7 linked regions of the Mus musculus genome follow. The protein of the gene in region 3 interacts with the protein of the main gene of each other region in a biochemical or structural test. Links are inferred from orthologs where the notes say so. Each region holds a gene or a part of one and is shown on either strand. Other genes may lie near its edges.

Evidence for each region.
Region 1: the proteins of Itch (region 3) and Junb form a complex in vitro, tested with the Homo sapiens proteins (2 studies listed by BioGRID, with this or other methods). The link is inferred for Mus musculus from reciprocal best matches to the Homo sapiens genes ITCH and JUNB.
Region 2: the proteins of Itch (region 3) and Ube2g1 form a complex in vitro, tested with the Homo sapiens proteins (2 studies listed by BioGRID). The link is inferred for Mus musculus from reciprocal best matches to the Homo sapiens genes ITCH and UBE2G1.
Region 4: the proteins of Itch (region 3) and Ndfip1 form a complex in vitro, tested with the Homo sapiens proteins (2 studies listed by BioGRID). The link is inferred for Mus musculus from reciprocal best matches to the Homo sapiens genes ITCH and NDFIP1.
Region 5: of the proteins of Itch (region 3) and Nfe2, one has a biochemical effect on the other in vitro, tested with the Homo sapiens proteins (2 studies listed by BioGRID, with this or other methods). The link is inferred for Mus musculus from reciprocal best matches to the Homo sapiens genes ITCH and NFE2.
Region 6: the proteins of Itch (region 3) and Lrrk1 form a complex in vitro, tested with the Homo sapiens proteins (2 studies listed by BioGRID and IntAct, with this or other methods). The link is inferred for Mus musculus from reciprocal best matches to the Homo sapiens genes ITCH and LRRK1.
Region 7: the proteins of Itch (region 3) and Wbp2 form a complex in vitro, tested with the Homo sapiens proteins (2 studies listed by BioGRID). The link is inferred for Mus musculus from reciprocal best matches to the Homo sapiens genes ITCH and WBP2.

The regions. Positions count from the first base shown.
Region 1 is NC_000074.6:84,976,272-84,980,221, forward strand, and holds Junb (transcription factor jun-B), read right to left. Parts: upstream 2,478-3,950; 5' UTR 2,159-2,477; coding exon 1,124-2,158; 3' UTR 638-1,123; downstream 1-637. UniProt on the Homo sapiens protein: Transcription factor involved in regulating gene activity following the primary growth factor response. Binds to the DNA sequence 5'-TGA[GC]TCA-3'.
Region 2 is NC_000077.6:72,676,748-72,680,391, reverse strand, and holds part of Ube2g1 (ubiquitin-conjugating enzyme E2 G1), read right to left. Parts: intron 2,688-3,644; coding exon 2,509-2,687; intron 1,024-2,508; coding exon 937-1,023; 3' UTR 900-936; intron 1-899. UniProt on the Homo sapiens protein: Accepts ubiquitin from the E1 complex and catalyzes its covalent attachment to other proteins. In vitro catalyzes 'Lys-48'-, as well as 'Lys-63'-linked polyubiquitination. May be involved in degradation of muscle-specific proteins.
Region 3 is NC_000068.7:155,132,048-155,136,339, forward strand, and holds the start of Itch (E3 ubiquitin-protein ligase Itchy), read left to right. Parts: upstream 1-1,433; 5' UTR 1,434-1,538; intron 1,539-4,292. UniProt on the Homo sapiens protein: Acts as an Acts as an E3 ubiquitin-protein ligase which accepts ubiquitin from an E2 ubiquitin-conjugating enzyme in the form of a thioester and then directly transfers the ubiquitin to targeted substrates.
Region 4 is NC_000084.6:38,417,621-38,421,721, forward strand, and holds the start of Ndfip1 (NEDD4 family-interacting protein 1), read left to right. Parts: upstream 1-1,286; 5' UTR 1,287-1,493; coding exon 1,494-1,556; intron 1,557-4,101. UniProt on the Homo sapiens protein: Activates HECT domain-containing E3 ubiquitin-protein ligases, including NEDD4 and ITCH, and consequently modulates the stability of their targets. As a result, controls many cellular processes.
Region 5 is NC_000081.6:103,252,594-103,256,750, forward strand, and holds the start of Nfe2 (transcription factor NF-E2 45 kDa subunit), read right to left. Parts: upstream 2,847-4,157; 5' UTR 2,557-2,846; intron 562-2,556; exon of another isoform or gene 450-561; intron 218-449; exon of another isoform or gene 1-217. UniProt on the Homo sapiens protein: Component of the NF-E2 complex essential for regulating erythroid and megakaryocytic maturation and differentiation. Binds to the hypersensitive site 2 (HS2) of the beta-globin control region (LCR).
Region 6 is NC_000073.6:66,262,747-66,266,390, forward strand, and holds part of Lrrk1 (leucine-rich repeat serine/threonine-protein kinase 1), read right to left. Parts: intron 2,796-3,644; coding exon 2,679-2,795; intron 151-2,678; coding exon 1-150.
Region 7 is NC_000077.6:116,084,189-116,088,583, reverse strand, and holds the start of Wbp2 (WW domain-binding protein 2), read left to right. Parts: upstream 1-1,588; 5' UTR 1,589-1,658; coding exon 1,659-1,717; intron 1,718-4,395. UniProt on the Homo sapiens protein: Acts as a transcriptional coactivator of estrogen and progesterone receptors (ESR1 and PGR) upon hormone activation. In presence of estrogen, binds to ESR1-responsive promoters. Synergizes with YAP1 to enhance PGR activity.

The sequences.
Region 1 (3,950 bases), on a different chromosome or scaffold from region 3:
GGGCGGGCGCCGCCCTTCCTGGCAGGAGTTGCCCTGACGGCGTCTGCAACTACAGGAAGGCTGCAGTTACTCTCCGCCAGGGTCGGTCTAATGGAGGGGGCGTGGGCGCGGTGGGGCTCCGGCGCCGGTCTGTTGAAAGCCGCTCGGATGGCTCCCAGGGCTCATGAGAGCACGGCCCTCCCGCCGCGGGCGCCCTGGACCCGGGCCTGGGGCTTTCCGCGCCCAGAAAGCCGCCTGCTCGGGAAAATCCCGGCCCCCTTCCCGGCGCCGCGGCCCTGCCCGGCAGAGCGGGGGGGAGGGGATTCCCGGAATCTGCCCGGAGACCGCGCTGGCGTCACTGAGCTGAATAGGCCCATATATGGGCAGAGCTTCCGTAACGTCAGCGGGGAAAGCCCCGGCGCACTCTGCTGGGCGGGGTCATGCTTGCACATTCCGCGTTTTGTCCTGGGTAGCTTGTTCCCCGCCACTGCCCGCCTGCGCAGCGTCTGGTGCCAGGACTCAGGGGATAGGAGGTCTGGGCGTTTGTACTGAACCTTATGATACCTGAAAGGAGCGAGCTACAAACAGCACCGTGCTTGGGGTAGCCCAATCTTCTCCCTCCATCCGCCCAGCTTGGAAGAAAAAAGAGACCACAGAAATTAATAAAGACAATTTTTTTTTTACTTAAATAGATTCAATAAAAAGTCAAACACACACACACAAACACATCTTAAAATAGACTTTAGACACGAAGTGCGTGTTTCTTCTCCACAGTACTATGCAGAGGGGGAGGGCAGGGGGCGGAGGTCCCTCCCTAGTATCCCCGCAGGCTGAGTACCAAGCGGCGGGGCCAGCTCCGCCGCGACAGCCCCCTTCTCCCCTCCCTGTTAAATACACAAATATATTATATTCAATATGAATTCAGTCTCTTTGCAGAAAAAAAAAACATACAAAATACGCTGGAAGGGGGCCATGTAAACCTCGAGGTGGAAGGACTGGGCGCAGGCGGGCGGGCCGGAGTCCAGTGTGTGAGCTGCGCCCCAGGCCTTTTGGCGGGTGCCCATCGCCTGCCCCCCTCACCCCAGTGGGGGGCAGGCGCCCAGCCTTCAAGGCTGGGGGTGTCCGTATGGGGCAAGGGAGGCTCTCAGAAGGCGTGTCCCTTGACCCCTAGCAGCAACTGGCAGCCGTTGCTGACATGGGTCATGACCTTCTGCTTGAGCTGCGCCACTTGCTCCCGTAGGAGACCGGCAGCACTCGACAGCCCCGCGTTCTCAGCCTTGAGTGTCTTCACCTTGTCCTCCAGGCGCGCGATGCGCTCCAGCTTCCGCTTCCGGCACTTGGTGGCCGCCAGCCTGTTCCGCAGCCGCTTTCGCTCCACTTTGATGCGCTCCTGGTCTTCCATGTTGATGGGGGACACAGGCGGCGTGGCGTCGCGGCTGCGTGCCTCCGGTACGGTCTGCGGTTCCTCTTTAAAGGCGGAAGCGCCGCGACTCAAGCCCAGCTGTGCCGGGTGGCCGCCCGCAAAGGGTGGTGCATGTGGGAGGTAGCTGATGGTGGCCGTCGGGTATGAGCTCCCAGTCCCGACGGCGGTCCCGGAGCCTCCAGAGGGTGCAGAGGCTGGGGAGTAACTGCTGAGGTTGGTGTAGACGGGAGGCGGCTCCGGACCAGCATAGACGCCCCCTGGGCCGGCCTGGGGACCCCCGCTGGCGCCCAGGGACACGTTGGGGGGCGTCACGTGGTTCATCTTGTGCAGGTCGTCCAGGGCTTTGACAAAACCGTCCGCAAAGCCCTCCTGCTCCTCGGTGACGCCGCCCCCTGTACCTCCACCGCTGCCACCCCCACGGGGGTAAAAGTACTGTCCCGGAGGCGTGGGCGTCGTCGTGATCACGCCGTTGCTGTTGGGGACGATCAAGCGCTCCAGTTCCGTGGAGGCTAGCTTCAGAGATGCGCCTGTGTCTGATCCCTGACCCGAAAAGTAGCTGCCTGCCCCACTGCCCTCCGGGCCTGGACCCCGCGCCCCAGGACCCTTGAGACCCCGATAGGGATCCGCCAGGTTGAGCGCCAAGGTGGGTTTCAGGAGTTTGTAGTCGTGTAGAGACAGGCTGCCAGGGCTCCGACCGTATCCCGCCGCTGCGTAAGAGTCGTCGTGATAGAAAGGCTGTTCCATTTTCGTGCACATCCGGGCGGCCTGGGCGATCTGGGAAAGGTCCCCCTGAAGGGCCGCCCCGGGCCTCGCTGCGGCGAGCGGCGAGCTGTCCTCGGCTGTGGCAGGACCCGGTGTCCGGTCGCGCGTCCTCGGGAGCTGGAGACGGTCAGCAGCGGCCAGTTGGCAGCTGTGCGTAAAGGCGCTGCTGGGCTTCCGGAGATTTTCTCTCCCTCCGTGGTGCGCCTGCTTTCTCGGCGTCGCTTCCCTCAGTTCCCCGCTCCCAGCAGGATCCTACGCTGGCCTGGCCACCCTCAAAGTCCCCAGTGCTCGGCCCCAGCCCCAAGCTTTTATACTGAATTTGTCAGCTGCGGAAGTGCACTCCGATTGGCCGACGCGGGAGCCAGGCCCCCGCGGCCCCCTCCTAGAGCGTGGGGAAGGGGAGGAGGCGGCTCGCGTCACTGTCAGGAAGCGCGTGTCCTTGTAAACAGCGGCCACGAGCCGGGTGGCTCTGCGCGGCTGCAGGGGGAGGGGCTGTGGAGACAGAGACACACAAGCAAAGGGATGTTGAGGGGCCGAGGCACATAGGGGCTAGAACTGCGGGAGTACAGCCAGGTGCTTATGAGATACACTGCAAGTGGAGATTGGATACCTTAGGATATCCCCGGAAAAGTCTCGTGGGACCCAGGGTAGCTGTGGCTTGTGAACTGACAATACAGTAGAAGACCCCAGAAAACAGAGAAGATACAAAACAGGGGCAATTGTTAACATTTGGCCTAGGAATTAACCAGAGGTCCCGGGTACAAAGTGCTTAAAGAACTGGAATTGTCAGTTGGGAGGAAAGGGCCAAGACACAACAGGGCTCAGGTACCTATTGTACAAGAAATGAGTAGGGGCTCTAGAGTCCATAGATGAGTCTGAGGGTTTCCCCATAAGTGGAAAAGGGAAGGAATTTTGGGGAGGTCAATTTAGATATTCAGAACAAAGGTCCTGGGGACGCTGAGGTAATCGGAGTAGAAAGATGGGAACATATCTAGCAAAGGTTGGGGTCATTGTGGATATTTGCAGAACTCTGGCAGAGAATTAAAATGGTCACGACATAGCTTCCTTCCGAGCTATGAAGGCAATGACAGGAGGGTATCTGAGATCTTCCTGAGAAGATGACTCGGAGGATCCCAGAGACCAGGACTTGTACGAATGAGGCTGTACCTCGTAGGTGGTCCCTAGGGCACTGACATGCCCAGTACCTCAGCCCAAAGCCCTCCCTTAGTCACCCGGGGCTCGCCCGATATCCTGTCAGCTTTTGGAGGGCCGATGGGGCGGGATAGCTGGGGTGCGGTCGCCCAACCCCACTCCCTTCCTTAGAAACAGGCTAGGGAAAGAGAGCCGAGGCAGGAAGTGTGGCAACAGCCCCGAGGGGGAAAGAGCCCGGCCCTGTCTCGTCATTGTGAGCCTAGGGGATGGTGCACCCTACCCTGGGCCTGCCAAATTCTGCGCCTGGGAAGAGGAACCTCGGCAAGCGACCCTTGGGGAAGTCACAACCCAGCTACAGACGCTTCTAGTCATAGTCTGATCTCCCCCATCTAGAAATGGTTCAGCCTGCAACCATCGGCGACTAATAAGCCTGGCAGCCGAGGACTGTTCCATTGGCCGGCTGGAGGGGGATGCAGCCTGGGAGCGGGGCCTCGTCACCAAGGCAACAGGCTGGAGTCCGTGAATTAGATTGGGGGCGGGGCACCCCCCCCTGAATTTCTCTCCCCAGCACCCATATTAGGGCACAGGAAGAGGTGGGACCAGTGCAGTCTTGGGGCGGCAAACTAAGAGCCAG
Region 2 (3,644 bases), on a different chromosome or scaffold from region 3:
TTTTTTCCCAGAGCTGAGGACCGAACCCAGGGCCTTTAGGCAAGCGCTCTACCACTGAGCTAAATCCCCAACCCTCAAGTTGTGTTTTGATCAAAGTTCGCTATCACAGCAATAGAAACCCTAATTAAGAACTCAACAAGTTGGTTATTTTATCACAGCAACAAAAAAGCTAGAATAGGACTGACCTCAGGACTTCCTGAACACTAGGCAAGGGCTCATTACTAGCTTTCAGATCTTTATTTTTTTTTTGGGGGGGGGGGGGGGGGCTATGGGGCGGGCTCACCATACAAAATATTCAGCATAAGAGGGTCCAAGATACTTCAGTTCCCATTTAAAAAGGTAAATGAAGATAAATAGAAAGGGTGAAATGAAGAACCAACTGACATCTTCGTTACCAGAAATTTTACCATCAATACAGGCTCAGTGATAGGGTACCCTTTTCCAGGAACTGGGTTTAATTGCCAGCAGCATTTAAAAAATAAAAAGTTAAAAATCTTTCATTACTACCAGTGAAAATAAGGAGACTATTAACATGAAACTATTTAATTCAGAACATCTACGTAAAAATACTTAAGTGCTCCAAAAGATAAAAAAAAAGCTCTGAGAAGCAGCAAACTACAGTATACGGAACTGGAAGAATAAAATTGAGCCAATATATACAAATCAAATAGCAAAATCAAATGATCTACAAAAATTAGTGCCGGGCATGATGGCGCACACCTTTGATTCCAGCACTTGGGAGGCAGAGGCAGGCGGATTTCTGAGTTCGAGGCCAGCCTGGTCTACAGAGTGAGATCCAGGATAGCCAGGGTTGCACAGAGAAACCTTGTCTCCAAAAAAAAAAGGCTAGCATTTGAGCAAAAAAGTTAAAGAGTTGCACAGTTTTAAAATGAACTTACCCTGAAATAAGTGAAGTTACTAACTATTGAATAAACATCACTCAAAAGCAGTTTCTTGGCTTTTTCTTACACAGCGGGCAACTTTCCTTTTAAATTCTCCGTTTCTGTCTTCCCTCCATTCTTTCTGCAGATACAAAATTAAAATCAAATTATTTTATATAAACCTATTATAATCAAAACTGCCTATTTGAATTATAAATATGATCCTTTTGTAATTATACATCTTTTTTTTCCCCGAGACAGGGTGTGATTATACATCTTAAAATGCTATGATAGGGTTGTAACTTAGTAGTAGCATACTTGCCTAGCTTGTTTTAAACCTGGTTTTAAATCAATCCTAAAAACTCCACAATTTTTTTCCAAGGCATAGAATAGTATTTTCTTTTTCTTTTTTTTTTTAAAGATTTATTTATTATATGTAAGTACACTGTAGCTGTCTTCAGACACTCCAGAAGAGGGAGTCAGATCTTGTTACGGATGGTTTTGAGCCACCATGTGGTTGCTGGGATTTGAACTCCAGACCTTCGGAAGAGCAGTCGGGTGCTCTTACCCACTGAGCCATCTCACCAGCCCCGTATAGTATTTTCAATACAGCTCAGGTGCTGAGAGCCCTTTGACTAGAGCATATGAGGACCTAGGTCCAGAGCCTAATACTATCCCTGCCAAAAAGTTGATGAGGTACAAAAGCAAATTTTGTAAAGCACTAGGCTAGGAACTACAAATAGAAAGCTCTTATGCTAATGACAGCTACTGGAAAAATTCTCTTTTAAAATAGAAAAAGGGTGGGTAGTGAAATGGCTAAGTAGCTAGAGGGCTTGAGGACTGAGTTAGGGACTGAAGAAGCACATGCTGGGGAGGATCCACTCCCCAGGGCTGTCTTGAAAGAGCCAGGATAGATAAGGCACCTAGCCCCAAACAAGCAAAAGTCAATCAAAACACAGATTATTTCTCTCTCTTTCTCTTTCTCCCTCCACACCCCTCCCCCCCTGTCGCTCGCATGCACACTGTAAGAGTAGGAACAATGGCTGTCTCCTTGAATGACACCAGTACCAGCATGAACAACATAGTTAAATTACAACAAAACCAATTTTTAATAAACAAGTAGATACCAGGAAATGCTCACAAAAATACTTAGCCTATATTTCTTTCTTATAATAAATAACCATTAAAAGAATGCAGGGACAACAGCAATTTTTAATTCTTATTTTTTCAAAGTTAAAAATAAAGTCCTCAAACCAAGACAACTACAAGATAATTTTATGAATATATGATAACATAATGAAATCCACTATTTTGAATACTAATGAAAAAGAGTAGATTTTAATTGTTCTTACTATAAAAATTAATGAGGGAATTAATACATGCCAACTAGTTCAAATTTGCTATGGCACAGTACATATTATACAATATCTGGCTTTTCATAACCACATTTATCCTATATATTTCAAAATAATTTATTATACATGGACTGTACAAAATAATCCAGTATATATAATAATTTTTATTTGTATGAAAATATGGACAAAGAAATGCACATATGTATTAAGTTTCAAGTTGAGTTTTAAAAGAGTAAAGGACAGAAGCAGCAGCTATCAGGCAAATACCTTACCGCAGCATCTACATTTGCAGGTGAGTCTCCATTAGGATCTGCCAGCATAGAAATGACACTAATCATGATGGTTTCCACAGTATGGATAGGTAACCAGCGTTCCTCTGGCTTCTCATAACCATATTTATCCTCCCCAGGCTCATGAAGAATAGAAATGCAAACATCACCATTTTTATCAACTGTAAAATTATAGAATAAGAATTGTTTTAATTTGGTTACATATAGTCTATTACAAATGTGATACATATATATATATATATATATATATATATATATATATATAATATTATATTACTTACGTGGAGATTTCCTAAATGTAATCTACTAACTTTTGAGAATGTTATAGATTTTACCAAATGTACAAGAGCCACCTAAAAAACTAAGTAGGAATATAAGCTATATTTAACTATATTTTACATTTTTTAACATTACAACCTTCACTGCTGTCCCTGATTCAAAGGACATGCCTTCTTTCTTCTAGTTCTCCAATTCCTTAATCTCAGCATTTACAGCTGTCTTCCTCTCAAATTCTAGTAAGATGGTCAAGGTTCAGCAAATAAAAATGTTAAAGGGGGAGGGTGATATAATAATGAAAATTAACAGACTCACAGAAAGATACACATTGGAGAGATAGCTCAGTGATTAGAAGCACTGGCTGTAGGCTAGAGAGCTGGCTCAGCGGTTAAGAGCACTGACTGCTCTTCCAGAGGTCCTGAGTTCAATTCCCAGCAACCACATGGTGGCTCACAACCATCTGTAATGGGATCTGATGCCCTCTTCTGGTGTGTCTGAAGACAGCTATAGTGTATTCACATATATAAAATAAATAAATAAATAAATAAATAAATAAATAAATAAATAAAAGTCTTTAGAAGCACTGGCTGATTCCAAGTACTCACATGAGAGTTTACACCCTACAGTCCCAGAAAATCTAACACCCTCTTCTGGCCTCTGTGGATACCAGGCATGCATCTGGTATACAGACATACATATAAGCAAAATATCCATATACTAAAAATAATAAAATAGGGGCTAGAAACACCCCTTAACAGTGGTTAAGAACACCAGGGCTCTTACAGAGGACATAAGTTAAATTCCCAGCACCCACAAGACAATTCACAACCACCTGCAACTCT
Region 3 (4,292 bases):
AATATATTTATAATATTTGTTAAAATATCTTATAGTATGCCCAGTGACAAGAATCATCTGGGATGCTAGTTTAAAAAACAAAACAAAACGAAACAAGAAACCAACCCAGATTCTCCTAGAGCACACCACTCTCTCAATATTGGGGATAAAATCTTGGGCCTCATCAATGCTATGTAAGTATCTACTAGTGAGTTACATCTTGAGCCAACTCTTACAGCTTAATCCCTAATGTGGCAAACATTGGCTGGAAGTGCAGAAGAACTTTTAAATACTTAAACACACCAAACCAAAACTAAAAAACAAAAACAAAATCCCAAAAACCCAAACCCAGGGTTTCACCACGTAACCTCGGTTGGTCTAGAACTCTCAAGATATTTGGACATGGCTAGCCTTGAACCCACAGAGATCCATTTGTCTCTGTCTTCTAATGGAACCTGAAGCTTGCTGTGTGGTCTAGGGCGTTGACTAGGGAGCTCCTATGTCTGCCCACCACTGTTAGGGGTCCGTTGGTGCCAGCTTTTATATGAATGCTGGGGTTTCAAACATCCTTGTGCTTGCATGGCAAGAGCCTTTACCCACTGAACCATCCTCCCAACTCAGAATCTTTTTTGTTTAATAAACTCAGCACATAATTCATAATATGGTAGTTTCAAAGGTATTTCGAAAAGTTTAAGTGACTTTCTAGATAGTTTCCTTACGAGGAAACAGGATAAACAATAATAGCAAAGTTTGCTAATTATCACGTGCCTCTATTATTACCACTGCACAGCCTATTAATTCGGTAGGATTAGATGTGTTTTGCCTGGGTTAAGAAGTTTAATTTAAGCATCTGAAAAGGTAACCAATGGCATCTTTCACATAGTTTTGTTGTAAACGTTTAGAAGTATGCTTTTCAGTTTTTATAACTCATGCCGCCTTGGCGCTGTCAAGCTGTCACCCTCCTAAGAACTTCCTGTCAAAAGGTGGAGAAAGGAGAATTTGAACCCAAACAGTGTAACTCCAGAAGGATAGAACCGGCACAGTGCTTCATAAATTGTGATTCCTGCTGTTAGGAGTATCAGGAGAGAACTTGATAAAAATGCAGATTATAAAGCAACCCCTATTCCATCCCAGATCTACTGAGTCAGAAACTGGCGGTGGAGCTCAGCAGTCTGTTTTTAAAAGCTGTTCAAGTGATTCTGAGACACGCTAGCATTTGGTAACAGTCTTTAGAGGTCCTGGCGGGGAAGAAGGGGTCAAAAGGAAGGAACGAAAGAAGAAAGGAAAGAAGGGAGAAAGGAAAGGAGAAAGGAAGGAAGAAAAGAAAAAAGCCTTGGAGATGTAGAGAGCAAGGCTTAGTGTCCACTTCACCTGGAGGTGAGGAAAAATGATTTAGGAGGCTGGCGCGCAAGGCCTGCTGGGGCCTGTAGTCCGGACTGCGCCGAGGAGGCCGCGCCTGCGCACTAGGTGTGAAGTAGCTCTAGTCGCTGTAGTCGGGGCTCGGGACCGGCTGCCATCTTAGCGGAGGGACTGAGGAGTCGTCGCCGCCCCGAGTCCCGGTAAACACGCGCAGGCAGACTGGGGTCATTTCTGTGGCTTGGAGGGAGTTTGGATGAAAAGGCATGGGGAATGCGAAGGGTAGAGGAGTGTGGCGCTCGAGTCTGGACCTAGAGCCGGGGCTGCTCTTCCCGCAGCCGGTGTCCGTGGGGGGCGCCCGGAGAGCCGGCTGGTGGCCCGAGCCGAGTGGCGGGTGGGTCAGCAGGTCGAGCCGAACTGCTAGTGCTTGGCCTAGGCGTCCGGAGCCTGTAGGCCCGCGAGCCCCAAGTTGGGAGAGAGCCGAGCCGCGGCGGACGTGGGCAGGGTCCAGCCCCGCGCCCCGCTGCCGCGCCCGGGGGTTCCTCTCCCGCGGCCCGGCCTACGCGCGGGGCCCGGTGGCAGCGGCCCGCCCGCGCGACGTGGCCCTTTGAGGGGCGGCGGCCGGGCCCACCTGCCACCTGGCAGGCTCCCCCCGAGACTTTTCCAAGCTCCCACTCGCAGAGGACCTTCCCCAGTGACTGCTTCCCCTTCTGTCTTGTACTTCCCTCCTCCCTCCATTGTCCCCACTCATGGTGGTCCCGGCCCAGGCCGGCGCCACCGACTTTTGCAGACGTGGAGCTGTCACAGCCCTTTCTACCGAGAGCGTACTTTTCTTGAGCAAAGAAAAAAGTAGAGGTGAGCGCATTTGAAAGGTGGAAGCCCAATGAGGGCAGGACTTTTAAATAGAAGACTTGAGTTTTGAGACATAGTTCCCGGCTGCAACTTCAAGAGAGAAAAAAAATATATAAGGGTCAGTGCACCCGAAGTAGGCATTGGGCCTAAAGTTAGAGATGTGACCAGGTGACTTGCAAAGTACCCCAAATTCACAGTTCCCCACTCGCTTGTTTTCTTGGCTGTGTTAGAATCCTAATCCTGTTGAGACTTCTGTTCCTCTTTAAGCTGCAGTGAACTTGTTCTAAAGGGGGCAGTGGGGAGAAGAGGGAGGTTTTCTTCTTCACAGTTGACAGAACACCATCTAGCCACCCATCATCATTCTCTTAAGTGGGTGGTTCTCCTGTATCCTTATCTTAAGAAAGTAGGTAAAGGCTGTGTATGTTCACTCCCAGGATTGGCAGAGGGCTTGGTTCTCATCTGAAATAAAGTCTTTTGGGGGCAAGTTTGAGATTCAGCCTTGTGTATCACAGGGTTACCTAAGGCTTAATTTTGCAGGTTTAAAAAAGATTGAAATTTTCTTTTGAACAGTGAATATACTTTGTATGTGTGAGTTCAGGAATTCAAACTTCAGATGTCAACAAGGATATATATACTATGAATCCAAAAGCAAGTGCCTAATACTTTTTACTGTATTCTAGAGTAAATTCTACATTCTTTAAAACAAACAAACAAACAAACAAAACAACAACAAAGATTTACTTAAGAGACAGACTGATCCATGGTCCCAAGGTTTGGCCATTAGTGTAATTACAAGAGCTTTTAATTTTTTTGTTTTTGTTTTGAGACATGATTTGCTCTGTATCGCTGACTGGACTAGAACACACTGTGTGTAAACCTAGGCTGGCATCAAACGTCATTCTGTCTTCCTGCCTCTCCCTCCCAAGTGCTGGGATTATAGGTGCTTAACCAACAGAGTGGGCTCGGGAGAAGTTTTGAGATTTGTTTATTTGTGTGTGTGTATGTGTGCATGCGCACACCATGACTTGAGTTGGAAGTCAAGAGTGTTTCCTCTTTCCTGTGTGTTCTAGGGTTCACACTCAGGTCATCAGGCTTGCATAGCAAGTGACTTTCCTTGCTGAGCTATTTTGCTGGACCAGGAGAGATTTTTGAAAGTAGAGTTTTCAGCTCAGTTGGTAGAGTGCTTGTTTACCACACACAAGGCCCAAGTTTATTTAGCTCTCAGAAGCATTGGGAGGTGAGGCCGCCTGAAGTACTTGAGACCCTTTTTAAAAAAGTAGATGCTCTCAGGTCTCAGTTTTGAGATAGAATAGTGGGTCTGGATTGGCTTCTATAACTTTACTTACAGATGGGCTGTAGGTAGTTGGGATGGTTTTGGGAACACTGAGGCAAATCATAGTATGGTTATAACAAAGACAGCACAAAAAGCTTTGAGATGGGGGAGGAAGTGGAAGTGGCCTGTGTGGGATTGTTGAGGGAAGTGGCAAGACCTATGTATGAAGGTCAACATGGTTAGTTCCAGGCCATCACAGCTACCTAGTGGGTCCTGGCTCAAAAAAGGGTTAGTCTATGGACCCGAGGTTCTAGAGCAGTGGTTCTCAAGCTGGGTTTTGGCCCCTTTGGCAAGCCTCTAGCTCCAAAAATATTTACATTGTAATTCATAACAGTAGCAAAATTACAATTATGAAGAAGCAGCAAAAAATAATGTTATGGTTGGAGCTGGTAAGCCCCATGAGGGACTGTACAGCATGAGGAACTGTATTAAAGGGTCACAGCCTTAGGAGGGTTGAGAAGCAGTGGGTTAGAGGATGAGTAGGAATGGGGCAGAGGTGAAGAAAGGGAAGGAAATACCTTACTACCTCGAGGCGTGTGTCAGTTAGGAAGGTGGGAGAAAAGGAGCGCAGGGTGTGGGATGCAGGGGCCTCAGGACCAGGAGGGCAAAAGGACCTGTTCTGGAAAAGCTCTGCGTACAGTGCTAATGCTCGTGAATTTGATGTCGTGAGAGATCAAGGCTTGGGGAAAGGAAGTGGTCTAAGTTGGTGTTTATTTAAAAAAAAAATGGCTCTGATGATAAAAGTGAAAGGGCCAGAGTGACTGTGGCAGAA
Region 4 (4,101 bases), on a different chromosome or scaffold from region 3:
AGTTCTGACTCCTGAATGCTGTGAGTGCCACTATTGCCTGGCTTTTTTTTTTTTAATTGATTATAATGTATTCCTATATATGAAACTCTTAGGGTAGTTCAAAGCAGCCGTGTTTTTATAAATATAACTAATACATAAAGATATATCTAAAGTTAAAAAATTAGAGACAAAGATAGCCCTACTGTTATAATCAACTGCAGAATACTAACTTGGAAAAACGATGAAAAAGCAACAGAAATTGTAACATGCTTTAAGGAGTGAAGGATTCTTTCCAGTCCCTCATCCATGATGGATGTGTGCTTAGTACTGATTCTAGACAGCTAGATAATGATAAAAAAGAAACAGCCCCAGACTAAAAAACAGAGCTATATTCTATGGAAGACAAACACTCTTGCCTCAACAAAGCTCATAATATGAACTGTGTGATAATGGTTAAGAAAGCTGGCTTAATAGACTTGCATTCCAACTTTCCCCCTCATCGGCTCAGGGTCTGTGAGTAAAACAGTGAATCCTTTTGCAGTTTCCTCATCTGTGAACCGCTGCTTATAGGAACTCCTACACCCAAGTGAGGGGAGCTCCGAGTTAGGCAAGGCTAGCTCTCTCTTGCCTCAGCACATGCTCCTGCTATCTAGATAAATCCTTCAAGTTTTGACTTTGATATCACTTTCTCGGAGCTGTAATAGAGTTTCTGTATCAACAGAAAAACTACTTATCGGCCCTGTACATTAGGCTCTAATAAAAATAACCTAATCTTAAGATTTAGGGTCAGCAGCTGGGTGGTGGTGGCGCATGCCTTTAATCCCAGCACTCGGGAGGCAGAGGCAGGCGAATTTCTGAGTTCGAGGCCAGCCTGGTCTACAAAGTGAGTTCCAGGACAGCCAGGGCTATTCAGAGAAATCCTGCCTTGAAAAACCAACCCCCCCCCCCAAAAAAAAAGATTTAGGATCAGCAATTACTTTTTGTAAAGGGTAAGTAAGACATAGTCTTTAGAGTTTGCAGGCCACGCCAGAAGGCAAAGGCCGTGTTATAATAAAACTTTATTTGAGGATATTTAAATGTCAATGCACGTACATCCTCAGGGTCTGGACTGGCGGGATGAGGCCCCTGCCCTGTGGCTGCCTGACCCCTTACCTCTGAGGATGGCAGTTATGAAGGGAACTGAAAGAAACCTCAACCCTGCAAGAAGGCGACTTCAGCGACTCCGGAGTAGCTGCGGCGGGGGCGAGGGGCGCGGCTGGGCCCGGAGGGGCGGGGTATAGTGCGGAGGGGCGGGGCGGCGCCGCGTCGTCGTCGTCGTCCCCGCCTCCTCCCCAGGGGCCGCGGCGGAGCCTTGGCGGACGCGCTCAGTGCCGGAGGAGAACGTCTCAGCGTCGGCAGCGTCCGTCCACACACGCCCCGGCGCGTACCTTTCGGCCTCCCGGCGACCCCCAGCCGCGGCGCTCGCGCCCGATCAGCTCTCTCGCTCGCCCTCCTTCCCTGAGGCCCGCTGCGCCATGGCCTTGGCGTTGGCGGCGCTGGCGGCCGTGGAGCCGGCCTGCGGCAGCGGGTACCAGCAGGTGAGCGGCCGCGGGCCCGCCCCGCCCTCCGCCGGCCACTGGACGCCGGGGCTTTGCAGGCCGCGCCGGGCCTCGGCCGGACCCCAGGGCCTGGGCCTGTCGTGGCTCGGGCCAGCCGGGAGGGACCTCGTTAACCCCGGTTGCCAGGTCGGGCGGGGCCCGGAGGCTGAACTCGTGGCGCTCTAGGGGCTGCGACCAAGAGGCATCAGTTTTTCCTTCTCTCAGCTTTGGTTTGATGTCATTGGAAAGTCAGGGGGCGAGAAAAAAAAAATTTTAAGCAAAAAAGATAAAGGAAATGGGTTCAGAAGAAAAGATCCTAATCACCGGTACCTCCGCTGGCGGCTGTCCGCAGCGAGGTGCGATTAGTCAGGGTTTCGGAGCCTCGTTTCTGTCCAAACCCATCCCCCTCGCTCCCTTTAAAGATTCGAGTCAAAAAAGAAAAAGAAAAAAAGAAGCGAGAGAGGAGCCCGCAGCTTTCAATCGATTTTGGAAGAGGCGATGTTTGGCTGGAGAGGCCCCAAAATGTAGGGCTACGTGAGGCTGCAGGGCGTGTGCCCGGATGTATTTTGCACGCTTAGAAATGACGTTTAAGAGATTTAATAGCATATCTAGGGAGGAAATATATCCAGATGATTGGATTATTATCTGCTGTGTGATTCTGTAAATTGAGGCCCTAGGGAAAAGAGATTTTTCTCCTCTCCCGGTGTGTGACTGGGTTTCCTCGGGAATTTAGAGACTCTTTTTGTGGAGGGAAAAAAAAAAGGTATTAATCTAAAATATAACGTAATCGTGGGAGTTAAGCCAGGAAGTTGTTGATAGAACCGCAGGCAGCTGCTTCTGTTTTGTCAATTTCAAATGTTTTCAGTATTACTTGCATACAAAAATGCCAGTCCTGCTTTTTCGACATAAAATGGCGTGAATCAAGAGATCTCCGTTTACTACGTTGTAGAAATAAAACCAGAATGATTAAAGCGTGTTGCAGATTAACCCTGTCGGGACCAGTTGCTGGTTTGTTTTGCTGTCTTCAGCGTTGCGTTGTAATCCGCCCTTCTTCCCGCCCCCGCCCCCGCCTCCGCCTCTGCCTCTGCTCCGACTCCTGAAATGACTAGTTAAGAATTTAGCCTCTTGGTTTCATAAACGCCCCAAATTCTGGCCTTGCAGACTGATCTTTATGTCTTCACAGCCTTTATTCTATGACCTTGCATGAGGTTCCGGGTGCTTCCTTGCTTTAATAAATTCGAGTCATAGATGTCATTAGACTTTCATCGACGTGTTTACAAATCCTTTGAACCTTATAGCATCAGTCTTTTCATTCCCGACTTGGATGGGCAGAAGAGCTGTGGGTTTTCTTTGTACTGCCATCTTACTTAGCTATGGGGTAATGCTGGTTGACTGCTATAATACAGAAAATTTGTTAAAGAGTATTAAAATTATGCTTTTGTTGGCTTATTGTTTAATAGCTCTTTGATTATGCAGAATTTAGGTTATGTTAGAGATGGGCCATCTTTAATATCGTTATTCTCAAAGTAATTAGTTTGCTGGGCATGGTGGCTCATGCCTATAATCCCAGCAGTTGGGAGGTTGAAGCAGGAAAATTGAAAGTTCAAGGCCAGCCTGGACTGCCAAATTAGTTGCCACCCAGCATGAGATACAGGAAGACTCTGCCTTGACAATAACAAAATACATTTGAAAAAATAATCTTCAATAAAACATGAAAAAAACCTTAGAAGAAATTATAAAACATTGAAGCCAAAAAAGTCTAGCCAAACACAAATCTATTCCCAAAAGTTAATATGTGGGCACATAGTCTTGTAGATGAGAGCTATGTAAATATGCAAAAGTGTGATCAGTGTGCATGTGCACAGAGAAGGAGTGCTGGTGGTGACTGTGTACCAGTCACAGCAGACATGGTTTACAGCCATCTTTACTGAACCCTTACAGCACTTAGGAGGAAGGGTTCGTTCTCATTTTATAGATGGCAAAGTCAAATCTCTAAGGGTCTCAGCGACTTGCGCAAGTTCACAAAACTACTAAATTATGATAACAAGAGTGTTCATTTACTCACCTGTATAGAGGCTCATGCCCCCAAAGACAGGCTGTATCCATTAGCAGATACATAAGTATACACGTATATTATGTACTCATGAATGTAGGCAGGCACATCTTTATACATTCATGCAGTTTCGTGCGCTCCTAATCACACTTGGATGTGTCCATTGTCTCAGGCATGTGCATTTACTTTCATGTGTTTTTGTGCACATACACATGTACAAAGGCACACAATCATTAGTAATATTGGATTTTCTTTTTCTTTTTCTTTTTTTTGTTTTTTAAGACAGGATTTCTCTCTGTGTAGCCCTGGCTGTCCTGGAACTCAGAAATCCACCTGCCTCTGCCTCCCAAGTGTGTGCCACCAGTGCCTGGCAATGTTGGATTTTCAAATCTCCTGGTTTTCTTTTTTTCTGTTCAGTGTTGAAGGTAAGGCCTATAACCTAGGGCCTTTCCCTTTCTACACAAGCCCTGTACCACTGAACTATATCTTTAG
Region 5 (4,157 bases), on a different chromosome or scaffold from region 3:
ATCATATAAATAAAAGAAACGCCTTACAGAAGACCAGAGGATAGGGCTGTATGACCTCAAATTGTATGACTTTATATGACCCATCACAAGGATAGCTCCTCCTGCTATTCATTATGGAGTCTCCTCTTGGACCTACCACAAAATGTATAGCCACTACCAAGTGTCCTTTTAACAACTGATCTGCCTGAGGCTCTGCCTCCACCCTCTTGCTATAAAGCCATCCCCAGAAATGGGAGTTGATATAGACAGGCCTTTGACCAACGGGTAGAATGGGTGGGGTGTTTATGTCTGTCCAGGATGCCATTTCAACACCGGAACTCCACCCTCCCCACCCAAGTTCTGGCGGAAATTGCCCAAAGGCTTAGTGAATGAAGAAGGAGTTTTTGGGTAGGCAGGGACTATACTGTTGCATCAAAGTTCTTCACCCAGTCTACCTCTCTTTGTCTCACCTGTCTTCCTGGATCTGAATCTGAGGTACTATACAAAGATCTTGCCCTAGTAGGCAAGATTCTCCAGCCTTCAAGATGTATGGCCTTGGACAAATTGCATCACAGTTTCCAGCTAAATGGAGACAGGAGTAGAGAAATTCACAACTGTAGAAGGAACAAGCTGCATCTAGTCAGCCACATTTACCTGGGGTGTATGGAAAACATGCCTGATGCCTTGGGATGTGCAGGCCCCTAAGAACAACAATGCCCTAGACATAGAGAGGAGGCCAGACTCACCTCAAGAAACACACATCTAGATGAATTTGCAGGAAAGAACATAAAGCCGGAAAGGGGAATAGCAAGTTGTCTATACTCTTCATCTAGCTACAAACCCAGGCAAAGCTAGACTTCAAGTGGTACCTAGCTATCAGCCCTTTCCTATGAAGACCTGAAAGTAAGTCTTCTTGTTCCTGAGATTAAAAAAAAAAAAAAAAAAAAAAAGAGTGTAGAGGGGGCAGGAAGAGGCTGGAGGCTGAGCAGAGGTTCATAAAGGAAACCACCAGACCATTGGCTTGTACCAGGCACAGGCCCTTTGGATCTTGGGAGCCTGCCTTTCAGAGGACCAGCAAGCTTGCAGCCAGTAGGACAGACTAGAAGCCAGACAGAAAGAATACCAGAGAGGGTAGTGAAAAGAGACAGGGAATGTGAGCTAGTTTTCCAGGGGCTCTTTAGCAACACTGCTCTTGTTTTACAGTTTAGCCTTCCTCTTCAGGTCATAAAACCACCAGATCTACTGGGGTGGTTATCCCCTTCGATCCTCCACACTGTAGATCTGGTAGAACTTGAGCCAACTGCAGAAACTTCCATTCTTCCTTTTCACTCTGGTGGTCCTACCTGCCTACTCTCCTTCCCTCCTTCCAGACCAACCCAGAGCCTTGAATATGCCATGCCAACACTCTACCACCAAGCTACATCCTTAGAATCTTCCAAAGATCTTCTCATGATTCCAAAGACTTCACAGGTTACAAAACTTTCTAGGGATACAGGATCATTTGGAGAGGTAGAAGAAGACATTTTGGCTTCCACTGCTAGCCTAAGACTTTGAACTTCTTTGACAGGGAGCTTGCTTCAGGGTACTGTATTGAGGCTTATTAGGTTACCCCACCTCTCTTGGTGTCAACACAGACAAAGGAAGGATTAGAGAGATATGAGTAAAACTTGGTGTGTAAATTAGCAGGTAAGCAACCTTGTTACAAAGATTACGGAGAATTTCTCAAAAGGGAGAGGCACGCAGAGGCAAAATAGAGAAGAAGTCAATAGAACGAAGAGGGAAGATTTGAACCACGAAGGCTTAGTCCCCTGGGAATATATATATATATATATCAACATGATGCTTGGAAACAAGGAAAAGGGAATGAATTTCTGCTCTCCAGTGACTCTATCCCTAGAACTCTGGCTCATTGGAAGCAATAAGTAGAGGCTGCAGTCCGCAGATCTGGTGGCTCTCTTTTCTCCCATAGCATCTCAACCTCCTGCTACTAGCAGCCAAGAGTTTCCATAGAAGCATCTACACTGAGATTGAATGCCCTCCTCTTTTCAGGTCCAGCTTAGGACTGTACAGGAGGAGAGGCAACGGGGAACCACTCAGCCAACCCCCCCACCTTGCTGTAACAAGGTTTTTCAGAAGTTCAGACATCCCATATTTATGGTCCCTTCGCTTCCCCCAAATCTCAGATGGTCGGGGCTACAGAATACCATGGGGAAGGGTACAAGGTGGCACCATATTACTGGAGCCTACTAGCTCCCCCAGTCAGCAGGCCAGTTGAAGGGTTCCTCCTGTTCACTCCCCTGCTCCTCCAGGGTGCTATTTAGTAAAGCATTGTGTAGCCCCCCCACCTACAACCTCCCACCCCAGCCACCCCAAGGGTCCTAGAACAGCCAGGAAGTCATCTAAAAGTATCTCCAAGTAGTATTATTACTCCTAATGTATCAGTTTCCTACACCAGGTATAGTCTAGGAAGATGTCTTAGAAACATCCAGACAGAAACTTAGGTATTCCTCCCTGTACCTCCTCCACCTGCCCAGCCTGACCTCCCCAGAGCCCACTGAGGCGTCCCTTCAGACTCGCCTTTCAGGCACCTGTGGCGGATTCCAAGCCCGGCGAGGAGAGAGATGAGGCTGCGGGTAGTGTCCCTGAGAGGCTGGGTCAGAGCTGACACCTCCTGGGCGCTGAGCGCTGCCTCTGAGTACTACTGAGGGCCGAGCCCCGCCCCCGGGCCATGGCTGGGCGCGGAGCACCGGTTGGCCCCGGTAGAAGCGGGCGCACCGGCGGTCTCTCCGAAGCCCTCGGTCGGAGTTACCAGTGCTTCCTCCAACCCTTCCCTTTCCCCGTGGCCCTCTTCTCCTCCTGCCCCTTCTGGCCAAGAGAGGAAACTTGAGCCCGGTGTGGTTTCTGCTGCACCCCGCCCCCGCCTCTCTGTGGCAGCGGGGGCACCCGGGGCTCACAGGCTTCAGACCCTCTCCAGCTGGTCCAGGACAGTTCATTCCCTGTTTGTTCGGGCTGACTTCACAGTCGATGGTCCACTCACAAGAGACTCCTAAGCTTAAATAAACATGGCCCGCAGCCTCCTCTTTCTTTCAGGTGGTGTCTCCTAAAGACCGACAGGGAAACTAAGTCATAACAAGGCAAAAGGCAGCAGGCAGTAAGAACCAGGTATCTGAGTCCAATTTGCTTAGGGCAACAACCTTCACTTCTAGAAAGCCTGGGCTCTAAGGGAACTATTTTGGGGATGAGAGGCTGCTAGCTGCTTAGAGGTATCCTTTAATGAGTTACCCCGCCAACCCCTGCCTCAGATGCTCTAGGACAAAGGATTCTTTTTTGTCCTATTTATTTATTTATTTATTTATTTGTTTGTTTATTTATTTATTTATTGCCAGTGTGTGTGGGGTGAGGGTCCTTAGGTGGGAGACTGTCCTGTTGGTTAATAATTAGTCTCCCTAAAAGGGATCTTTTTTTCTTGCAGGCCAGGCTACATATGTACATCAGATTCATCTCCTAGTACACAACAGCTCTGTATCAGACAACTGTGCTCTCCCAGAAGTCTCTCATCTGCTTTCCCTGTGCTGGAATTATAGGAGTGCTCACTGTGTCTGCTTCAGTAACTTTCAGACCAAAGGAACATGTCTTTTTGGTCTATCTAACTTCGGTTCTGATTGATACGGCTTACACCACTTTTTCTCTATTGTTTTTCTCACTGATATTCAAGTTAATTTGGAAACATTTTTAGACCAGAAGCAAAGCTGGGTATTTGACAAAAGACCTAGAACCCCTGTATTCAAGAGCTAGAGGAAAGGTGAGTTCAAGGTCAACATTGGCTACGTGGTGAGTTTGAGGCCAGCCTGATGTGCATGGGACCCTGTCTCTGAAAAACAAACTAATAAGATAGGCAGAAAAGCAGGTGAGTCCTACCCCAAGGTAGAGGTGTCATTCTGCTAACGCTTTGGATAGGATTGTGCTTTCTGTTAGAATAGTGGGACTATATTGGCCTGAAGCATGAACAACAGCTGCTGGGAGCCTTCCAACTGTTCGATCACAAAAGTGTCTTCTTTGACCACTCTAGTTCTCCCCACTATCTTCCACAACCTGGCAACATAGTCAAGCAAGTAATGACTTAGTGTGTTGATACCACAAGGAACCTCCCATCAAGCTAACATCTCTGAGATTTCCCA
Region 6 (3,644 bases), on a different chromosome or scaffold from region 3:
CTGCCGTGCATCTTCGTCGGGGATGCAGAACTTGGACCTGTTGGCTGTGTGGGAGCACAGGTAGGAGCAGCTTTCTTTTGGGGTGCCCCGTGCCACAGGAAACACAGCCACGAGTCCGTCAGCCAGGCCTGCCAGCACCAGGAAGGAGTTCTGTGGGGGGAAGGGACAGGGACACACAATATTCTTTCATGTCACACATGCGAAGAGAGAAACCACAGACACCAGACTCATCTCTCTATGTGCCTCAAGTGGTCACATGATCTTCCATAGTGCCTCAGAGAAGTAAAGCCTTTGAAATCTTGGCCTGCTCAGGGGTCTCAGGACTCTGTCCAGAGATGATGTAGCCTTGCCCCAGCAAAGCCACACCCACCACTGGTGCTGCAAGGCAAGAGGTAAGCCAGGGAGAACAGTGCCCATAGTGCTGAGGGCATCAAGCAAGGGTGCCACCACCTGGCATTGGTCCCTTGCTGGAGGAGCAGCGGGGAGCTGCCTTTCCTGGATGCCATGAAGGCCTCATGAAAGGCAGGGCAGAATGCTCTCCCTGTTGTAGATAGCTTATTAACATGACAGCTGTTATAGGCATGAGTTCTGTTTATTGCTCACACGGTGGAGAACTCCAGAAAAGCAGGGGGCAGGTCTCTGTGCCCACCACTGTCACCTGGGCACTGCACTGGCACAGGAAAGGGTTAAGTCTGAGACACCTCTGTGGCCCGGGATCCCACTGTTTCCATCAAGTGGACAATCTATGACCCTGGAAGAACGAGCTTCTAGCTTAACTCTCCTGCTGGCATGTCTTGGTCCCATGTGCCCACATCCACACTCTGAAGAGCCTGGGCTGACACTACTGAGGAGTTTGACTTACCACGAAGCACCGTTTCCTCTGTAGCCACCGCCAGAGGTTACTAGGCAGAAGCCAAAGCTGCAGGTACAAAGCCAAATACAGGCTTCCAGGGGTGTCTCACAGAGCAGAGCAGAGCAGAGCAGAGCAGAGCAGAGCAGAGCAGAGCAGAGCAGAGCAGAGCAGAGCAGAGCAGAGCAGAGCAGATACAGAGTGAGTGGGTCAGGAAAAGGGCCACAGAACCAAGTCAGAGTTCATGACAGGACCCCAGCCTTGTTCTATCTAGCCAGGGGGAATGGCAGAAAGCCACTTTGTTAGCAGTCAGGGTGCCTGTGTGGAGCGGGGTGGGCAGCTGTTCAGGGTAGTAGAGTGAGTGGCCTCTCACACAACATCCACAGTAAGGAGCCCTAGGAAAATTTCTCAAAATCCATCTTCAGGATCTAGGTCAATAAAGCAGCCAGAGCAAACAGGCCATAAGTCTTTCTGGATCCTGGCCCTGCTGGCCGGCGTGGGGAACACCACGTTCGGTGGGTTGTGAGCGTGCTTGTGCAAGAATGCACGCACGGTCTGCCCTGTGTGGCCTCCGCAGGTCAACCTCCACGGGGGCAGGCACCCTGCGCAGGAGGCTCACACAGAGTCCGCTTTATTTCCCCTGCTCCGGCAAGACGTGAGCCCTGGCTGGGGCTCTGGCTGTCAGGGCCCTTCAATAATGCTTTGTGTCCGTTTCTCCCAGCCTCTGGTGTAGAGATCCCAGCTGCCTAGGGTGCTCCTGGGGCTACAGTCATAAATGACTGTAAGGTTCATTTCATACCCATTTTCTGTCCCTTTTATAAAGAAATGAAGCTAGATCAGGGTGCAGAGAAAAGCTCACAGGTTTGGCGACATACAAAGTCATAGCAACCTTTAGCTCCAAGTACCCAGCCTGGAACTCTGGGCTCCATAGGTCCAGAGACCTATTTCATTACTCAATCATCCTCATGTTAGGCGGACAAATGGGGACCACATAAGGGCAGGCCGCACATTATAAAAAGCTGTGCTAGGAAGTGATGCTTATGCACTGGTGGAAGGCACGCGTTTTACCCACAGGCCCCTTGTGACCTGATTGGATCCAGGGAAGGAAGCAGAGCTTGGGAGAGCAAGCAGTGCCACCCAACTTCTCAGAGGAGTTCCTGACAGTTCACCAGAAGAGAAGGTGAAGCTCCCGTGTCTACTGTTTGGAGGAGAAGGCCCAGGGCCAGTCAAGAGGTGGCCTTGCCAGCCCTAGTGAGGCTAGATTCCATGCCAAGGTGCGGTGGAGCTGGGGCTGGGGAGCACACTGAGTGAATGGGGTTAGGAGGGCGAGGAAGTGGGTCTGCTCTGCAATGCTGGGCAGTGCTGGGCAGTGCTGGGCAATGCTGGGCAATGCTGGGCAGTGCTGGGCAATGCTGGGCAATGCTGGGCAATGCTGGGCAATGCTGGGCAATGCTGGGCAATGAAGGACTGAGGCCTGGGAAGGAAAGCAAGTCTTTGAGAGAAGGCAGAGGCAGATGAAAGGGAATCAGCTACGCCCACTAATCAGAAAAATCAGTGGCCAGGGCAGAGGAGAGGCTCCTGATGCCTTTATCAAGAGAAGGAGCCACGTGTTTGCTTCATCATCCGCACCAGCGTGAGCCTCATCTAAGCCAGGGGCACTGGCATTTGCTCATGGACGGTAGGCACAGGTTAACGGTGGTTGCCTGTGTCTCTAAAGCTGGCTATGACCTGGGCAAGGTGGCCCAGAAAGGTGTGACTCCACTGTTCTCAGCAAGGAGATCCTCCCACACTTGGTGACAGACCTGAATATGTCCTCTCCCCACCTTACCTTTTTGATAACAGGTACTGCCAAGAAACAGGTGACGACAGCTGGGGTGTCCAGGGCCTGCTGGGGCACGCTTAATGGGCACATACCCTTAAGGCTGTAGATATAGATTTTCTGGTCCTGCAAAAAGCAGACAAGCTCACTGTAAGAGCTAGAGAAGGAAGTGACCGGTATGTCCTATGAGGATGCTTTCAGCCTGGGGAACCCCTTTGGTACCTTTCTAAAGGCAGCATTTTGCTTGCTAATTCATTTCTGCTTTTTGTTTGAAAACTACAGTCTGGAAGAAAGTTAGCTCATAGAGGGTCCTGAGGAGTGGGGGATGGAGCGTCTCAGAAGCTCCCTTCGGCTATGCATGAGTATACCACTAGCAAAGTGGAGTCACGATACAGTGACAGTGTGCCATGGGCAGAGTCCTGTATTTACCCCCTCAAGGATGTATATGGGGTCACCTCCTCTGTTCATCACCTTTAAACATATTTGGTGAATTTATTGTTGCTATAAAGAATTGTATCGGAATAGGTACTCTTAGAGATCTCTCTGTGTATTCTCCTAAAACAGATCGATGAGGCTTTAGTGCCATGGGTATCTATGGGTTTTGGGAGATCTATATACTTCTAAACAGTCATGTCGAAGCATTATGATGTTCCTTCCCCTACTCATAAACCTGGAGCATTTGATTTAGAGCGGTGTTTGGATTTCTCATAGGACAGCCACTTGGATCTTTCCATGACTTCTGCATACAGAGGCAGAAGGTCCTCGGAGATGAGCTATGCTCCATGGCCCTCACACTATTATGAGGAAATCCAGCATGCCATCAACACACCCAGTTTCTCCCGCTGAGCATCTCTACCTATTCTTACTACCCTGAATCCTAGCTTCCAGCTGGTGGCCAGCAGGAGCCAGCAGTGATTCCCCCGGTGACCTACCTCACAGGATCGATGACATTATTTTAGGGATCGCTCAGGGACA
Region 7 (4,395 bases), on a different chromosome or scaffold from region 3:
CCATTGTGAACACCTGATTCGGGTGCTGGGACTAAAGGCGTGTGCCACCAGATGTGGCTATGGATTTTCTTTTACTGGATTTGTTGCTGTTTTATCTTTGTGGGACAGAGTCGCTGGACGGTTTGGAATTGAATACACAAACAAGGAGCCAGGGCTCAAACCCCCAGCCGTCCTCTCACCTCTGATCCCTGATTGCGTCATTACTAATACCCATCTTGGACTATGCTCTTTAAAAACTGCTGGGCTGGCTAGGGACATAGTCCAGCTTAGAACAGTGCTTTTCGTGATGTGCATGAATACTGGACTCAACTGATCATCATAACTTTGTAAACCCAGGCTCGGTGGTACACACCTGTAATCTCAGGACTCTTTCTCAAAAACCAAACAAACAAAAATCTGTAGCCATTTGACTTTTATTAGTGTGCACCTAGAAAAACAAACAAACAAACAAACAAACAAACAAACAGACAAACAACCCCAAAGCGAACAGAAGGGTCTCTTGCACTGTGAGTTAATAATGTACCTGCCATTTCCCAGAACTGTTTTACTCTGCAGCTGAGGCTGGTCTGGAAATCATTATGCAGCCCAAACTGGCCTCAAATCTGTGGCAATGTTCCAGGATGTAGGGCACCATGCTGTCTGCTTCAAACCAAACACTGGTGTCTTAAGGTTAAGGGTAGGTACGCTAAGATGCCACCCAGAAACTGAAGAGTTCTCCCAACCCTCGACAGCCCTGCGAAAGATACAACTCAGAGGTGGAGTTTAGATTCACTACAGCGCAGTGGGGAGACACCCACTAGCAGAAACGAGTCAGTGGTATTTTCAAAGTCCTACCTGGCGGTTGGTCATGTGCTTTGTCAGTCCACTCAATTATTCTAGGTCCTGTTTAAACCCTGCTGTTTAACTTCTGCAGCGGGATCCGCTAGATCAGAGCAGGAAGCAGCGCCATCGCGAGGCGGCAGGCGGCAGGTGCTGGGCGGGGAAGAGGGTGGGGAGCGGACCGCTCAGTCCCCAGAAGTTCACAGTCCGACTCTGGGTCCGGGATCTGGATCTGGGTCGATTAAAGTGGCGTATTTTATTTTTTTCGGGCTTTGCCAGTCCACTGTAGAAGGGACTGCATCTCGCACTGCTCTGTAAGTTTGCAATGAATACCCAAATGTAAGCGCGAACTACTCATGACAGTTGCGGAAATGAAGACGGCTGGTTACGTAATGTTTAAATGTACCATACACCAGATCATCAAATTTAAGTTACATTTCTTCGATTGAGTTTGCTTAACATGAGGAAGCTAGGATGAGAGAGGCGTACAAATGTTTAAGTAGTCTTGTAAATATAATCTCTAGCCTGGCCTATAATATAAAAAAAGACTACAAATTCCAGAATGCACTCGTCACTAAACGCAGGGCGAGGCCGCGGTTGCCGGACCACTGCCTGCTGGGAATTGTAGTTGGCTGCTTGTTTGTGATGCAGGTGCAACTTGGGGGAGGGAGAGCGGGAGTAAACTCTCCCCACGTGACAGTCCAGATCAGGTGGTTGGTCAGCCTGCGCGCAGGAACTATGATTGGCTGACTGTAATACGAACGACGCCACTAGAGGCGGGCCAAAGACCAGCGCAAGCGCAGAGCGTTGCGAGTCTCGGGACCCCAGTGGGAGAGACTATGGCGCTCAACAAGAATCACTCAGAGGGCGGCGGAGTGATCGTCAACAACACTGAGAGGTGAAAACACGGCGGAAGGATCCTGGAGACTTGAAGGGCGGGTGTCGGCCACTGTGTGTGGTGGGCGGTGGGATATGGTGGAGAAGGAAATTGATGGAGCGCTGTGGGGGGGGGGGCGTGGGGGGGGAGGAAAGAGGGAGAAAGGGGTGGTAACGGCCGGAGGCGGGGCTGGAGGGAGTGGGTGGGTCGTTGGGGAGGGCCGGAGTGCTGATCAGCTGGGGTGATGGGTGGGGGTGGGGCCAGAGAATGGTGTCAGGGTTTGTTTGGGAAGCCGAGTGAGGCCCACGGGTGATTTCTTGAACCCCTTCCCAAACGAAGTCTTAAAACATAGTTGCTATTTATTAGGCGTTCACTACGTCTTTACTATGCTGCGTCAGCTCTACCTTAGGTAATACATAATCCTGTGCCGCAGAAACTATTAGACACATTTTACAGGTAGGGCAAGTGACGCCTAATGAGGTTAAAATAACTTAGACCATTGTGCTGTGAGTAACAGAAGGGGAATTGAAGGAAGGTAACTTGGCCCCAAAGTCAATAGGCTTAACTACTCCTGTACAGTTTTCTCGTATATTCCAGAACTTCTCAAGTTCCAAAAGAAAGGCTGAGGCCCTAGAGGTGGTGGAACTAAATGTCTGTCAACTACTTAACCCGGTGACCCTTATAAAGGCTTGTCTCTTGCCTGGTTCTCTTGAATTCTTAATGGCTTGTGTCAGTTCCCCGAACAAAGGTCTCCCAACTTTAAGATTCTTTTTTTCTCTCCCCTCCTTGAACTGCTGGGCTTCTCTGTTCCTCTTGTTTCTTGTTCCTTGGAATTCTGACTCTCCTGACTTGCACTATCCGGGCTTGGATTAACTTGAGAGCCAAGAGAGACATGATGGAGGTCAGAGCCCACACCCAGTGTAGACAGGCACCCATCTTGGGACTTGTCACCTGGGAAGCTGACTCAGAGGAGAAGGTGGCAGTGACAAGGCCAGGTTCTGCTGACCTCGTGTGCGTAGGTCTTGGGAAGGGGCTGGCCAGCACATGTGCCTGGTGACCACTTCTTTAACCTGAGCTGCCCCTCTTTTATTGCACCAAGAAAGGATATTTGGGACAGGAGGAGACAGCTGAATGGAACCATACGAACTCAAACCTTTTTATCTTGTAATCTGAGAAACCTTACATTGTTTTCTGGTATACTTTGTCCAGTTCTTTGGCTGAGCCAAGTACTCTGATGCCATCTAATGACTGTCCCCACTTCTACCAGTCTCTCTGGTTTTTGAGGTATGGTTTCATTCCTGTAGCCCAGGTTGGCCTTGAATTTGAGGCAGTCCTCCTACCTCAGGCTTTTAAGTGCAAGGAATTCACCAGGGCTCTTTAGTTTCATTATTTGGGAGTGATTCCTTTTTGTTTGTTTTTCCAAGACAGTGTTTTTTGTGTAATAGAGCCCTGGCTGTCCAGGACTCACTAGGTAGTCCAGGCTGGCCTTGAACTTACAGAGATTCACCTACCTCTGCCTCCTGAGTGCTGGGGTTAAAGGCATGTGCTACCATACTGGGAATTTTTTGTCTCTTAAACTGAGTCTTACCTAGGTGGTATCTACCCTCCTGGGCCTCAGCACCTGGTTCATAGCTCATTGCTACCAGTAGGGTTCTAAGGAATAACTTGAGCCACACTTCTGAAACAAATGTGTCAGCAATAATTGAAGTTTAAGTATGATGCTCAAACTTTGGAATTTAAACTTGTAAACATTAATCTTTAATTCACAAACCACTGATAGAGATAAGAGCTGTGAACTTGCCGGGAGGTGGTGGTGCATGCCTTTGGTCCCAGCATTCAAGAGGCAGAGGCAGGCAGATCTCTGTGCGTTCAAGGCCAGCTTGGTCTACAGAGTGAGTTCCAGGACAGCCAGAGCTACACAGAGAAACCCTGTCTCCAAAAGAAAAAAGAAAAAGAAAAGTTGTGAACTCTTCCCAGAGAATTGAGTACATACACACACAAAGACACACACGCACTCGCGCCCCTATCTTAAGGGCTTTATGTGCAGAAGTTTTCTGCTGCTGCAGCTAGAGAAGCTTGGACTAGGGGCTGGAGAGCTGGTTTAGCAGTTAGAAATACTTCCTGTTCTCCCAGAGAACCCAGGTTTAGTTCCCAGCATCCATATGGAACAGCTCACAACCACATGTAACTCCAGCATCAGGGGGTCCAAAGCAAATATAGAATCATATCTTTTACATACATACATATATACATACATACATTGATTGATTGATTGATGCTGGGGATGAGCCTGGAGCTATTTACATATTAGGCTTGTATTTATTTGTTTGTTTTGAGACCATTTTTCTGTGTAGCTTTGGCTATCCTGGCACTTACTCTATAGACCAGACTGGCCTCGAACTCACAGATCCACACACCACTGCCTCCTTGAGTGCAGAGATTAAAGTTGGGCCATCACAACCCGGCGTAGATTAGCTTTTACAAACACTGACAAAAGAGCTCTGGCTGGGACTGAGTTGGTGGAGTGCCCTCATAACCAGCACACGCCCAAGGCTCCGCCCTAGCACCTCAGGAAACCAACAGCTTGGGAGGTGGAAGCAGGAGGGAACTTAGCAAGTTTTGACCAGCCTGAGCTATAAGAAACCCTGCCCCCAAAACACCCCCAGACAGAACCCCACTCACAGGACTTGAGAGCGCAC